Linked DNA regions of Saccharomyces cerevisiae S288C. Changing the gene in region 1 together with any one later gene gives a genetic interaction. Each region holds a gene or a part of one and is shown in the gene's direction. Other genes may lie near its edges.

Region 1 (2,785 bases):
AATTTGGAATTCACATTTATATACACGCTAAATATCATAATGAACGAGGATCATGTAGAAAAACACATTTACCCATAATGGTGAAACAAATTATCAACAGTGCTTTTACGTTATCATCATTTACATATAAAAAATTTATCTAACAAAAATCATGTGAAAAATCATCTGTTATTTCGTTAAAGTACGCGCTAAAAAAAAGTCGGCACTAATTTTATTTGACGAGGTAGATTCTACCTTCCCATGGTTTCAAAACTCTGGAGGAAACGTCAGTATCATCATAATTTCCAAGAATAAAAGATAAAGAAGCACCTTCTCTTGGGAGGCTGAATTCAATTTCTTCGCCACTGAAATTCAAAGCAGCAAACAGCGTCTTGTCTTCGTACTCTTTAGTGAAGCTAAAGATCTGGTCACTGTCTAAATCAATGAATTGGAAATCGTAACCATAAATCATAAGTTCCTTATATTTCTTTCTGGCTTGCAAGGCCCTTTTCCAAAAATTGAGAACTGAGTCATCATCTCTGGATTCCTGCTCAACATTGATTCCTTGCTCAAAAGATTCATTCAAGAAAAACCAAGGTTTAACATCTGGGCCAGTAAATCCAGCATTGGGCTTATCTTTCGTCCATGGCATGGGAGTTCTCGAATGATCTCTAGAAAGTAGGGCGATTCCTTTAAAAAAATCCTTCATTTCCTTCGAGTTTTTACCAAAACTTTTTTTGATAATCTCGTAGTTGTTTTTCACATCAACGTCCTCATACTTTTCAATAGGCCATTCCTTGAAATTGATCTGGCCTATCTCCTGACCTTGATAGACATACAACGTACCTGTCAATGAACATTCTAGCAATGTTAACAGCTTACCAGATATTTTACGGTACTTTGGCGAATCGTCAGCAAATCTCGTAATTGACCGGGCTTGATCGTGATTCTCGATGTAGGTGGTAGCCCAACTATCAGTACCGTTAATGAACAAAAAGTTCGATGCAATGGCTTCTTTCCATTGTTTCAAGGTGAAGGGCACTATGTTATAACGGAAAAATGGCGAGGTACCAAGTTCAACGTGCGTGAAGGAGAAAACTTCGCTGACTTCGTATCTAGCTGCACTGGTGTATAAAGCATTATCACTTCCATGGGCAACTTCACCGACTGTCATTATTTCTCTACCATCTTTCACCCTGTTTTTCATAAATCTGTGTAGTTCTTGATGATATTCATGAATCCTAGGACCATTGTGAGACCCCCAATTTGGATGTTGTAATTTCGAGGTTTTGTCAAAAATTGGGGAATCTGGTAAACCAGGACGTTTCGAATACAAACCAGCGGTATCGATTCTAAAACCATCTACACCATGGTCCAGCCAAAATCCAACAGCACTTTCAAAGATTGCCCTTCTGCAGTCTTCATTCTCCCAATTCAAGTCAACTTGACGACTCGCAAACAAACGGAGGTAAAATTCATTTGTAGTTTCATCAAAAGTCCAAGCTGAACCACCAAAGAAAGATTTCCAATTGTTTGGAGGAATTGGCTTGCCTTCGGCGTCATAACCTTTAGGAGGTCTCCAGAAGAACCAGTCACGCTTCGGATTGGTCTTCGAGGATCTGCTCTCTTTGAACCATTCGTGTTCTGTAGAACAGTGGTTGATAACCAAATCGGTGATGAATTTCATACCCAGCTTATGAGTCTTGTCAATTAGCTCAAAACAGTCCTCGTTGGTACCGTATGTGGGCCAGACCTTTTCGTAGTTAGATATATCATACCCCATATCTTGTTGAGGAGAGTCATAAAACGGACAAACCCAAATAGCATCAACGCCAAGATCTTTAATATACTGCAACTTGGAAGTGATACCTTTTAAATCACCCCAGCCATCGTTATTGGAGTCTTTAAAACTTGCTGGGTAAATTTGATAGATTGTGGCCTCTTTCCACCACTTTGGTTCTGTTTCTGGATGATCAGAAATAGTCATTTATGTATTTTAGTTACGCTTGACTGATGTACATTTGAGATTATCAAAAAAACTGCTTAAGAGATAGATGGTTTAATTTTTTAGAGACGTATTAATGGAACTTTTTATACCTTGCCCAGAGCGCCTCAAGAAAATGATGCTGAAAGAAGAATTGAGGAAGGAACTACTCATCTTACGTTGTTTGTATCATCCCACGATCCAAATCATGTTACCTACGTTAGGTACGCTAGGAACTGAAAAAAGAAAAGAAAAGTATGCGTTATCACTCTTCGAGCCAATTCTTAATTGTGTGGGGTCCGCGAAAACTTCCGGATAAATCCTGTAAACTTAAACTTAAACCCCGTGTTTAGCGAAATTTTCAACGAAGCGCGCAATAAGGAGAAATATTATATAAAAGCGAGAGTTTAAGCGAGGTTGCAAGAATCTCTACGGTACAGATGCAACTTACTATAGCCAAGGTCTATTCGTATTGGTATCCAAGCAGTGAAGCTACTCAGGGGAAAACATATTTTCAGAGATCAAAGTTATGTCAGTCTCTTTTTCATGTGTAACTTAACGTTTGTGCAGGTATCATACCGGCCTCCACATAATTTTTGTGGGGAAGACGTTGTTGTAGCAGTCTCCTTATACTCTCCAACAGGTGTTTAAAGACTTCTTCAGGCCTCATAGTCTACATCTGGAGACAACATTAGATAGAAGTTTCCACAGAGGCAGCTTTCAATATACTTTCGGCTGTGTACATTTCATCCTGAGTGAGCGCATATTGCATAAGTACTCAGTATATAAAGAGACACAATATACTCCATACTTGTTGTGAGT
Region 2 (2,877 bases), on another chromosome or scaffold:
AGCTCCAGCGCGGGTTAGTGGGAAACTGACCAATCAATGGGCAGCCTGTCAATTTCAATGCGGGTAACAGGGTTGTCAGTATAATAGACCCAACTTACTGCTTTATGTTTATGTATATGTATATATCAGAGACCTAATCGAGAATAGAGAAGTGCTCACATATTGCATAAATTGAAAAGTCCTCCAGAGGCGAAGTATATAAACTAAATGTTTTAAATGAGAAAAGCAGCTTCTTTTCCTTTCTTCCACGTAGTACTAAATCATGTCGGAAAGCGATAATTGCTTTTCTTCGTCGTCAATATTACTGGATGGCACAACTTCCGTGGCTTTGTTTTCATTTTCTCCAGGATATCGCGATGTTAGCACAAGCGTGATACAAAGTAGTAAGCAGGCGATGAAGAGACCAAATATGAACCAGGAAAAAGCCATACAGACCAGCTGCAACCTGAATTCTTCCGTCGTCAGATCGTGAGGAATATTTTTATCTTGGAATATGGACGCTGCGTCTTCTGGTCGCGAGTTACCCATTAATCCTAGCTTAATGCTGTTGCCGAAGGCTCGTATGGCGGACTTAAAGTAACCCTTCTCGAAAGGGTGATGCTCATCGCACAGTATCATGACTTTAGAATCTTCATTCGTGGACGAATTGTTTATCTTGGAAATAGCGAAGGTCGTAAAAGCCAAAGTCATCAATAAGATCTGTTACGTAGTATTTGAGAGAAGGAGTAAACTAACCTTGAATTGAGGTCTTGATTACAAGTTGCTTGCTTAGTGACACATTTGACAAGAAAAAACAGTAATACGCCAGAACATTTGCGGCCCCTTTTTATATCAAAAGTGCTAAACATGCTATTTAAGTATTTCTTTTGCTGTTGATACGCAATTTTCATTGCGCTGCTGCAGATGTGGTACCCTTTACCGCACAAAAATACTTCTATCTGGATATTATTCCGTGTACTTGGCGAAGAAGCCATCCCGTTTTGAACGCCATTGCCGCTAACCTCCGCGCTTTCGCTTGCAGCAATGGCTACATCCGCACGGTTCCGCTATTGCCACGACATTGTGGTGGTAATAGCCAAGGCAATGGTGTGTACAACTTACGATCCCTCTGCTTGCGGAAGCAGTCAAAAGGCAAGTGAGATCTACTCTATAAACTGACACTTTATCCAGGGAATTATCGAGAAAATTCTGTCTTGTCAATTAGAGAAGTAAGGGGCCACAGGGAAATAATACTTTCGAAGGGAGTTTCTTTCCTTAAGGAGGTGCAAAATGCAAAAGATATACAGTTTATAGGTTGATACACATAGAGCAAGTGGTCTCAAGTGGTCTTAATGAGTCACGGGAGGTCAAGATGCTCTTTTTTTCTTCATCGTTTCAGTTTTGTATCTTGAGCGGAGTGAACTTGCCCTTTAAGCGGGCCATACCCTTACATGGCGTTAGCACTTATTTTCAAGGTGAATATATACAATGTCAGTTACCCGTTTTTTTGTCTTCCGCTGTATAAGCTTGCTATCATTAAAAGCCGCATGTGGCATCCTGAATTCTGCCACCCCTTAAATACAAAAAATAGTGTAAATGGTACTTGATCTCTTCTGGAGGAATAAACAATAATTCTTGATGGAATTTGAGAGAAAGTAAGTGTTCGGCTAAGCACAATAAAGATATAAACCTGTGACTACCTATATAAGTTCGTAATGTCAGCACCTGCTCAAAACAATGCCGAGGTTCCCACTTTCAAGTTAGTTCTTGTTGGTGATGGAGGTACTGGTAAGACTACCTTTGTGAAGAGACATCTGACCGGTGAATTTGAAAAAAAATACATTGCAACTATCGGAGTAGAAGTTCATCCTCTATCTTTTTATACTAATTTCGGTGAAATTAAGTTCGATGTCTGGGATACCGCAGGCCAAGAAAAATTTGGCGGGTTAAGGGATGGTTATTACATCAATGCTCAATGTGCAATTATTATGTTCGATGTCACATCCAGAATCACTTACAAGAACGTCCCTAATTGGCATAGAGACTTAGTCCGTGTGTGTGAAAATATTCCCATAGTGCTATGTGGCAATAAAGTCGATGTCAAAGAGAGAAAGGTCAAGGCCAAGACTATCACTTTCCATAGAAAAAAGAACTTACAATATTATGACATTTCTGCAAAATCCAATTATAATTTTGAAAAGCCTTTCTTGTGGTTGGCTAGAAAACTTGCCGGTAACCCACAATTGGAGTTTGTTGCGTCTCCTGCATTGGCCCCACCTGAGGTGCAAGTTGACGAGCAACTAATGCACCAATACCAGCAAGAAATGGACCAAGCCACTGCTTTACCATTACCTGATGAAGACGATGCTGATTTATAAAAACATGAAAATTTATATACGAAAATATTCTGCTTCTTCTCACATCAATCTAAAAATTTTTTTTTGAAATTTCTTTTATTTTTAATATATAGTTCTGAAAGTCTATTTTTAAAGAATTAGTTCTTCTCTGTTTAATTGCCACATTGTAATTTTTTTTTGGTATGTTGAAGTTTAACCTGTACATTTCTTTTCTTTTAAATTGAATCAAAGACCAATAAACGGGATCCGATCACAATATGATCGTCCAATAACGCTCCCTCTTGCACTTCACTTACTACTTTATAAACCTAATTTTTATTTTTTACTAGATTCCTTTTTTCTTCCTGCTGGCGCTTTTTTTTTTTTGCCCGTCCAAAAGTTTTCAATGAAAAGTAATCCTCTTGAAAAGAGATACTTCTTTCGATTACAATAATGTTCTTATTCATATACAAATAGAATATCAGAAGATCGGAAACGAGTTAAGATAAAATATAAGAAGAGGAAAGTATTCCCAATTATGTTTTCATTTAATTGGTAGACG
Region 3 (3,355 bases), on another chromosome or scaffold:
AATAGTTCCTTATCCTTTATATGCAGCTCTTCCCGCGGTCCAACAGTCCTTGGTCTTCGCTCCGATAAAGGGTTTCAAGAGAAAAGTCGTCTTTAGTACCAATATTGCAGAAACATCTGTTACCATATCCGGTGTTAAATTTGTCGTTGATTCTGGTCTTCGAAAAGTCAAAGTTTGGAGACATCAGCTGGGATTAGCCACTCTACTTACCGTACCCATTTCTCAGGCAAGTGCGATGCAGAGAAGTGGTCGTGCTGGTAGAGAAAGTGAAGGAAAGAGTTTCAGGCTTTATTGTGAGTCTGATTATGTGAAATTACCTAAACAAAGTGAACCTGAAATAGCCAGAAGTGACGTCACATCTCCTGTGTTAATGTTGAAGAGATATGGTGTTGATGACCTGCTAAACTGGACCTGGTTTGAGAACCCTGGAAAGGAAGCTATAGTAATGGGGCTTCAGGAACTTTATGAATTGGGTGCTCTTGACACTCGTGGAAAGATAACTAAACGGGGTCAACAAATGGCTCTGTTACCGCTACAACCGCATTTAAGTAGTGTCTTAATTAAAGCCAGTGAAGTCGGATGTTTGAGTCAGGTCATTGATATCGTCTCTTGCCTTAGTGTGGAAAATTTACTGTTGAATCCGTCACCAGAAGAAAGAGATGAGGTGAACGAGCGTCGTTTGTCCTTATGCAACGCTGGTAAAAGGTATGGTGACCTTATCATGCTGAAAGAGCTTTTTGATATCTATTTCTACGAACTAGGGAAAAGTCAAGATGCAAGCTCTGAAAGAAATGATTGGTGTAAAGGATTGTGTATTTCGATACGTGGGTTTAAAAATGTAATTCGTGTCAGAGACCAGTTAAGAGTTTATTGTAAGCGTTTGTTTTCTTCAATCAGTGAAGAGGATGAAGAATCCAAAAAGATTGGTGAAGATGGCGAGCTAATTTCGAAAATTTTAAAGTGTTTCTTAACTGGGTTTATCAAGAATACAGCTATAGGGATGCCAGACAGGTCTTATAGAACTGTTTCCACTGGAGAGCCGATAAGCATTCATCCATCATCTATGCTATTTATGAATAAAAGCTGCCCCGGTATAATGTACACGGAGTATGTCTTTACTACGAAGGGATATGCCAGAAATGTTAGTAGGATTGAACTTTCATGGTTACAAGAAGTTGTCACTAATGCAGCCGCTGTAGCAAAGCAAAAAGTTTCTGATTCAAAATAAGTCACCTACTCTTAGCGCATTTTTATTGTATATAAAGGCATTTAATGTAATTTATAGAGCATTATAAATCGTAACAACTACTGCAGTATGAGTTTCATGGATTCATTTCTCAATATCTTATGAATATACACAGGTATATATGTATATTCATGTTAAACGCCTTTCGAATTGTTCGTTGGCTTTTTTTGTGAAATTATCTCGGGAAAAGGGCGAAATTATATTATTTTGCCGTTGACATTTTGAAAAGGAATAAAAGATCATGAAAAAAATAAGAAAGGCAATTCGACGCATTTCTCTCAGCAAGCTATTCTTTACTTTTGAAGAACAAAATATTTTAGCAAAAAGGTTAAGACAATATAGTCGGAAGCAGTTCTGCGGGATCTGAAGGAATTGCGGAATAATGAGATTTCACGATAGTATACTTATCTTCTTTTCTTTGGCATCGCTTTATCAACATGTTCATGGTGCAAGACAAGTCGTTCGTCCAAAGGAGAAAATGACTACTTCAGAAGAAGTTAAACCTTGGTTACGTACGGTTTATGGAAGTCAAAAAGAATTAGTCACTCCTACGGTCATTGCCGGTGTCACTTTTTCTGAAAAACCAGAAGAAACACCAAATCCATTGAAACCTTGGGTATCTTTAGAGCATGATGGTAGGCCAAAAACCATTAAACCAGAAATCAACAAAGGTCGAACCAAGAAGGGAAGACCTGATTACTCAACTTACTTCAAAACGGTAAGTTCCCACACATATTCTTATGAAGAATTGAAGGCTCACAATATGGGCCCTAATGAAGTTTTTGTAGAAGAAGAGTATATTGATGAAGATGACACCTACGTCTCCCTGAATCCTATTGTCAGATGTACTCCTAATCTTTACTTCAATAAAGGTCTAGCAAAGGATATCCGCAGTGAGCCATTTTGTACCCCTTATGAGAATTCTAGATGGAAGGTTGACAAGACTTACTTCGTTACTTGGTATACAAGATTTTTTACAGATGAGAATTCCGGTAAAGTTGCTGATAAGGTTCGTGTTCATTTGTCCTATGTTAAAGAAAACCCCGTAGAGAAGGGCAATTATAAAAGAGATATCCCTGCAACTTTTTTCTCTTCCGAATGGATTGATAATGACAACGGTCTAATGCCGGTTGAGGTCAGAGATGAATGGCTGCAGGACCAATTTGATCGTAGGATCGTTGTATCAGTTCAGCCAATATACATATCAGATGAAGATTTCGATCCACTACAATACGGTATTTTATTATACATCACTAAGGGTTCAAAAGTGTTTAAGCCTACTAAGGAGCAACTGGCTTTAGACGATGCAGGTATAACAAATGATCAGTGGTATTATGTTGCATTATCTATCCCTACTGTCGTGGTGGTATTTTTCGTCTTCATGTACTTTTTCTTATATGTCAACGGGAAAAACAGAGATTTCACAGATGTTACTAGAAAAGCTTTAAACAAGAAACGCCGTGTTTTGGGTAAGTTCTCGGAGATGAAGAAATTCAAAAACATGAAAAATCACAAGTACACCGAATTGCCATCTTATAAGAAAACCAGTAAACAAAATTAGATTCCCTTCGAAGTATGCATTCACCCTTCCTCGAGAGGGCTGTTTTTATCTTCCGTCACACTAATAGAAAACCACTCTATCCAGTTTTTTTTGTTACTTAACTTATCTTAACTCGATATTGTATAAATACTGAAGTCCATATACTTCTTTTTTTCTCCTTTGGATAGTAAATACGGTAAATTAAAATTAGTGTAAACTGAACAATATTAACATATATAAATCATCTGTACGACAATTTGATACCAAATAAATAGAGAATGCATCAGCATCCTCCAGGGTTCAAAAGAAAACGCTGGATCTTGCTTCTTTTCCTTTGATTTCTCCTTATATCCATTTCTGTCTTGCAGCAACTTCACATATTTTTTCCAGTGTAATGACCCTTGGATCAGGCTTAAAATGACGCTCAACCACATTATCATCTCCTTCCACATTCCTGCTAAGTAAGCTTTCTTCGTCGCCCTCGCTATTGTCCACATTATCTTCATCTTCATCATCATCTCCGCCGACGTCTTCAATGTAGTAGAAAAAGGGTTCCAACACCAACATAA
Region 4 (3,438 bases), on another chromosome or scaffold:
ATGACAATCAAGATACCAAAATTCAGTCATGTTTAAAAGGGGAAGGTACGATAGAGATATATATAAAGTGTTCAATTTACTATAATTGCGTATAGAATCCATTGTTACTTGCTCTCAATGAAACAACGATTCATTCGTCAATTTACGAACCTAATGTCTACTTCGAGACCGAAAGTTGTTGCCAACAAATATTTCACTTCTAACACTGCCAAAGATGTTTGGTCGCTAACCAATGAAGCCGCTGCAAAAGCTGCCAATAACTCCAAAAACCAAGGCCGTGAACTTATTAATTTAGGCCAAGGCTTTTTTTCATATTCCCCTCCTCAATTCGCCATTAAGGAGGCTCAGAAAGCCCTAGACATTCCAATGGTCAATCAATATTCTCCAACTAGAGGTCGACCTTCATTAATTAATTCCTTGATTAAGTTGTATTCTCCTATTTATAACACAGAATTGAAAGCGGAAAATGTTACCGTAACAACAGGTGCCAATGAAGGTATACTTTCTTGCTTGATGGGGCTTTTGAACGCTGGCGACGAGGTTATTGTTTTTGAACCTTTCTTTGACCAATATATTCCAAATATCGAACTTTGCGGTGGTAAAGTTGTTTACGTCCCCATAAATCCTCCAAAGGAATTGGATCAAAGGAATACTAGAGGTGAAGAATGGACCATTGACTTTGAGCAGTTCGAAAAAGCGATTACATCCAAGACAAAAGCTGTCATTATCAATACCCCTCACAACCCAATTGGTAAAGTTTTCACGCGCGAGGAATTAACCACTTTAGGTAACATTTGCGTCAAGCACAACGTTGTGATTATATCTGATGAAGTCTATGAACACCTTTACTTCACTGATTCTTTCACTAGAATTGCCACACTCTCTCCAGAAATTGGGCAACTAACCTTAACGGTCGGTTCTGCCGGTAAATCGTTTGCTGCTACTGGTTGGAGAATTGGTTGGGTCTTATCCTTGAACGCAGAGTTGTTAAGTTATGCAGCTAAGGCACATACAAGAATTTGTTTTGCATCTCCATCCCCTCTACAGGAAGCTTGTGCAAACTCTATTAACGACGCTTTAAAAATTGGGTATTTTGAAAAAATGAGACAGGAATATATCAACAAATTCAAAATTTTCACATCGATCTTTGATGAATTGGGACTACCATATACAGCTCCAGAGGGTACATATTTTGTCCTCGTTGATTTCTCTAAAGTGAAAATTCCCGAGGACTATCCCTACCCAGAGGAGATCCTGAATAAGGGAAAAGATTTTCGCATTTCTCACTGGTTGATCAATGAATTAGGTGTGGTTGCCATTCCACCAACTGAATTCTATATCAAAGAGCACGAAAAGGCTGCTGAGAATTTGTTAAGGTTTGCAGTTTGTAAAGATGATGCTTATCTAGAAAATGCCGTAGAGAGATTAAAACTACTCAAGGACTACTTATAAGATAAATTTTTTTTTATACTCCTTTTTCTCAATATATAGATTTTATAAAGCATGTATATTTTTATGCAGAAGTGGTAAATATAAACATCAATATTCCAGAATAATTCCATATTTTCTTCGCGTACTACAAGAAAAAGTGAACCCTTAATGAAAAATAGACAATATGAACATTTAGTAATGTTTTGAACAGTGTATTTATAGAGTACTTAAACACATATGAAGATATAGCGCAAGTAAATATAAATGAGTGACAAATCTCATCAGATATATTGCTACTTTTGGCTCTTTGGTTTGATCAATAATGTACTTTATGTGGTAATACTTTCAGCAGCTGTTGATATCGTGGGTCCTACCTTGCCTAAATCTCTAGTATTGCTAGCAGATATATTCCCATCACTCGCCATTAAATTGTGTTCCCCATTCTTTATTGATAGAATCAAGTACAGCTATAGAATATGGTCTTTGATCACGATGAGTTGCTTAGGAATGTTCTTAGTTTCTTTTAAAAACTTGTTTGTTTGTCTTTTAGGAATATCTTTCGCATCTATATCTTCCGGATTTGGAGAAGTGACATTCCTACAGCTAACACACTATTACAAACAAATTTCTTTGAATGGATGGTCGTCAGGTACTGGTGGTGCAGGAATCATTGGCGGAGCATCTTATATGTTCTTAACTTCAATCTTTAAAGTTCCAGTGAAGCTAACTTTACTAGTATTTAGTCTCCTTCCATTTGCATTTTTGTTTTATTTTAAATTAGAATCCAATGATACCAACCTGACTTACCAAAGTCTTCAACAAATTGACGAAGCAGAGGATGACCAGTTGGTGCCCTTTCCTGTCGCCTTTACACATACCAACGCTTCGCAATCCCTGTATTCTACAAGACAGCACATTTTGCAAACGGTCAAGAGACTTCGAAGATTGGTTTTTCCATACATGGTTCCATTGACCACCGTCTACTTATTCGAATATTTAATAAACCAAGCGGTAGCTCCGACCCTATTATTTCCGATTAATGGTGATGAAAGAAGTAAATCGATGCCATTTTTCTTCCATAAATACAGAGATATATACGTAACCTATGGAACGCTCTACCAATTAGGTGTCTTTATATCAAGATCCTTTGGACATCTTATGAGAATGAGGAGTTTATACATCTTAGCGTTTTTACAAGGTGTGAATTTGTGCATAACGGTACTGCAATCATGGTTTTATGTCACACATTCGCCCTGGGCGGTGATGATATTAATATTCTATGAGGGTTTTCTTGGTGGTGCGTCATATGTTAACACATTCTTAAATATTCTCGAACAAGAGGATCCTGATGAAACAGAGTTCGCCATGGGTGCTGTGTCCATCGCTGATTCCTTTGGCGTTTTTTTGGCTGCGTTACTTGGTTTGGGGCTAGAACCCAAACTTTGTAGGCATCAAATTGCCGATGACAGACCTTGGTGTAGGATGGAATAAAGTTTTGTTGTGATATTAAATAGGAGATTGAAATAAAGTGTTAGATGCTTTCTATATACTCATTCTAATGCCTGCTAATAACTCTTCGATAATTCGTTGATTTCTATCATTACTTTGAATGGTACTCAATATGCCAAAACACTGCAGTAATGTCAATTTATCTGTTTCTGTGACATTACTTTCTTCTTCTTGATTGAAAATGTAAAGTTGAAAACTTTTGCTGATACCATCGTTACTATTTACGAAGTTTTCATAACAAGGTAAGACTATTGAATCTCTAAAGCACATAAGCAAAAGAAACCCAATAGAATAATTACCATTAATGTGAGTCCGACTTTCATTGCCTGACTTTAAAACCGTAGAATTACCATCTTCTCTGATACTCTGATCCAACGGTAATAACACAGCGGCTAAATCATAATATACCTCTTGATAAAATATCCGCCATATAACGCCTAATCTTTTCAATGCGTTATTTATTGTGTCTTCATTAGAATAGTTAAAAACAATTTGGTT

What was found.
Region 2: mutations in YBR298C-A (region 1) and GSP2 together harm fitness more than expected from each alone (negative genetic interaction), as found in Saccharomyces cerevisiae (one large-scale study listed by BioGRID).
Region 3: mutations in YBR298C-A (region 1) and PSG1 together harm fitness more than expected from each alone (negative genetic interaction), as found in Saccharomyces cerevisiae (one large-scale study listed by BioGRID).
Region 4: mutations in YBR298C-A (region 1) and YHC3 together harm fitness more than expected from each alone (negative genetic interaction), as found in Saccharomyces cerevisiae (one large-scale study listed by BioGRID).

The regions. Positions count from the first base shown.
Region 1 is NC_001134.8:804,532-807,316, reverse strand, and holds YBR298C-A (uncharacterized protein), read left to right. Parts: upstream 1-2,060; coding exon 2,061-2,282; downstream 2,283-2,785. Other genes in the region: alpha-glucosidase MAL32, read right to left, coding at 212-1,966.
Region 2 is NC_001147.6:680,924-683,800, reverse strand, and holds GSP2 (Ran GTPase GSP2), read left to right. Parts: upstream 1-1,694; coding exon 1,695-2,357; downstream 2,358-2,877. Other genes in the region: YOR186W (uncharacterized protein), read right to left, coding at 256-690. UniProt on the Saccharomyces cerevisiae protein: GTP-binding protein involved in nucleocytoplasmic transport. Required for the import of protein into the nucleus and also for RNA export. Not essential for cell viability.
Region 3 is NC_001143.9:289,825-293,179, forward strand, and holds PSG1 (Psg1p), read left to right. Parts: upstream 1-1,628; coding exon 1,629-2,807; downstream 2,808-3,355. Other genes in the region: DHR2 (RNA helicase), read left to right, coding at 1-1,228; AAN1 (Aan1p), read right to left, coding at 3,132-3,355. UniProt on the Saccharomyces cerevisiae protein: With EXP1, the specific cargo receptor protein for the plasma membrane ATPase PMA1, is involved in the transport and/or maturation of PMA1.
Region 4 is NC_001142.9:323,269-326,706, forward strand, and holds YHC3 (amino acid transporter YHC3), read left to right. Parts: upstream 1-1,695; coding exon 1,696-2,922; downstream 2,923-3,438. Other genes in the region: BNA3 (kynurenine--oxoglutarate transaminase), read left to right, coding at 118-1,452; BIT61 (Bit61p), read right to left, coding at 2,974-3,438. UniProt on the Saccharomyces cerevisiae protein: Plays a role in vacuolar arginine transport. Involved in pH homeostasis. May be involved in ion homeostasis together with IST2. Not necessary for mitochondrial function or ATP synthase degradation.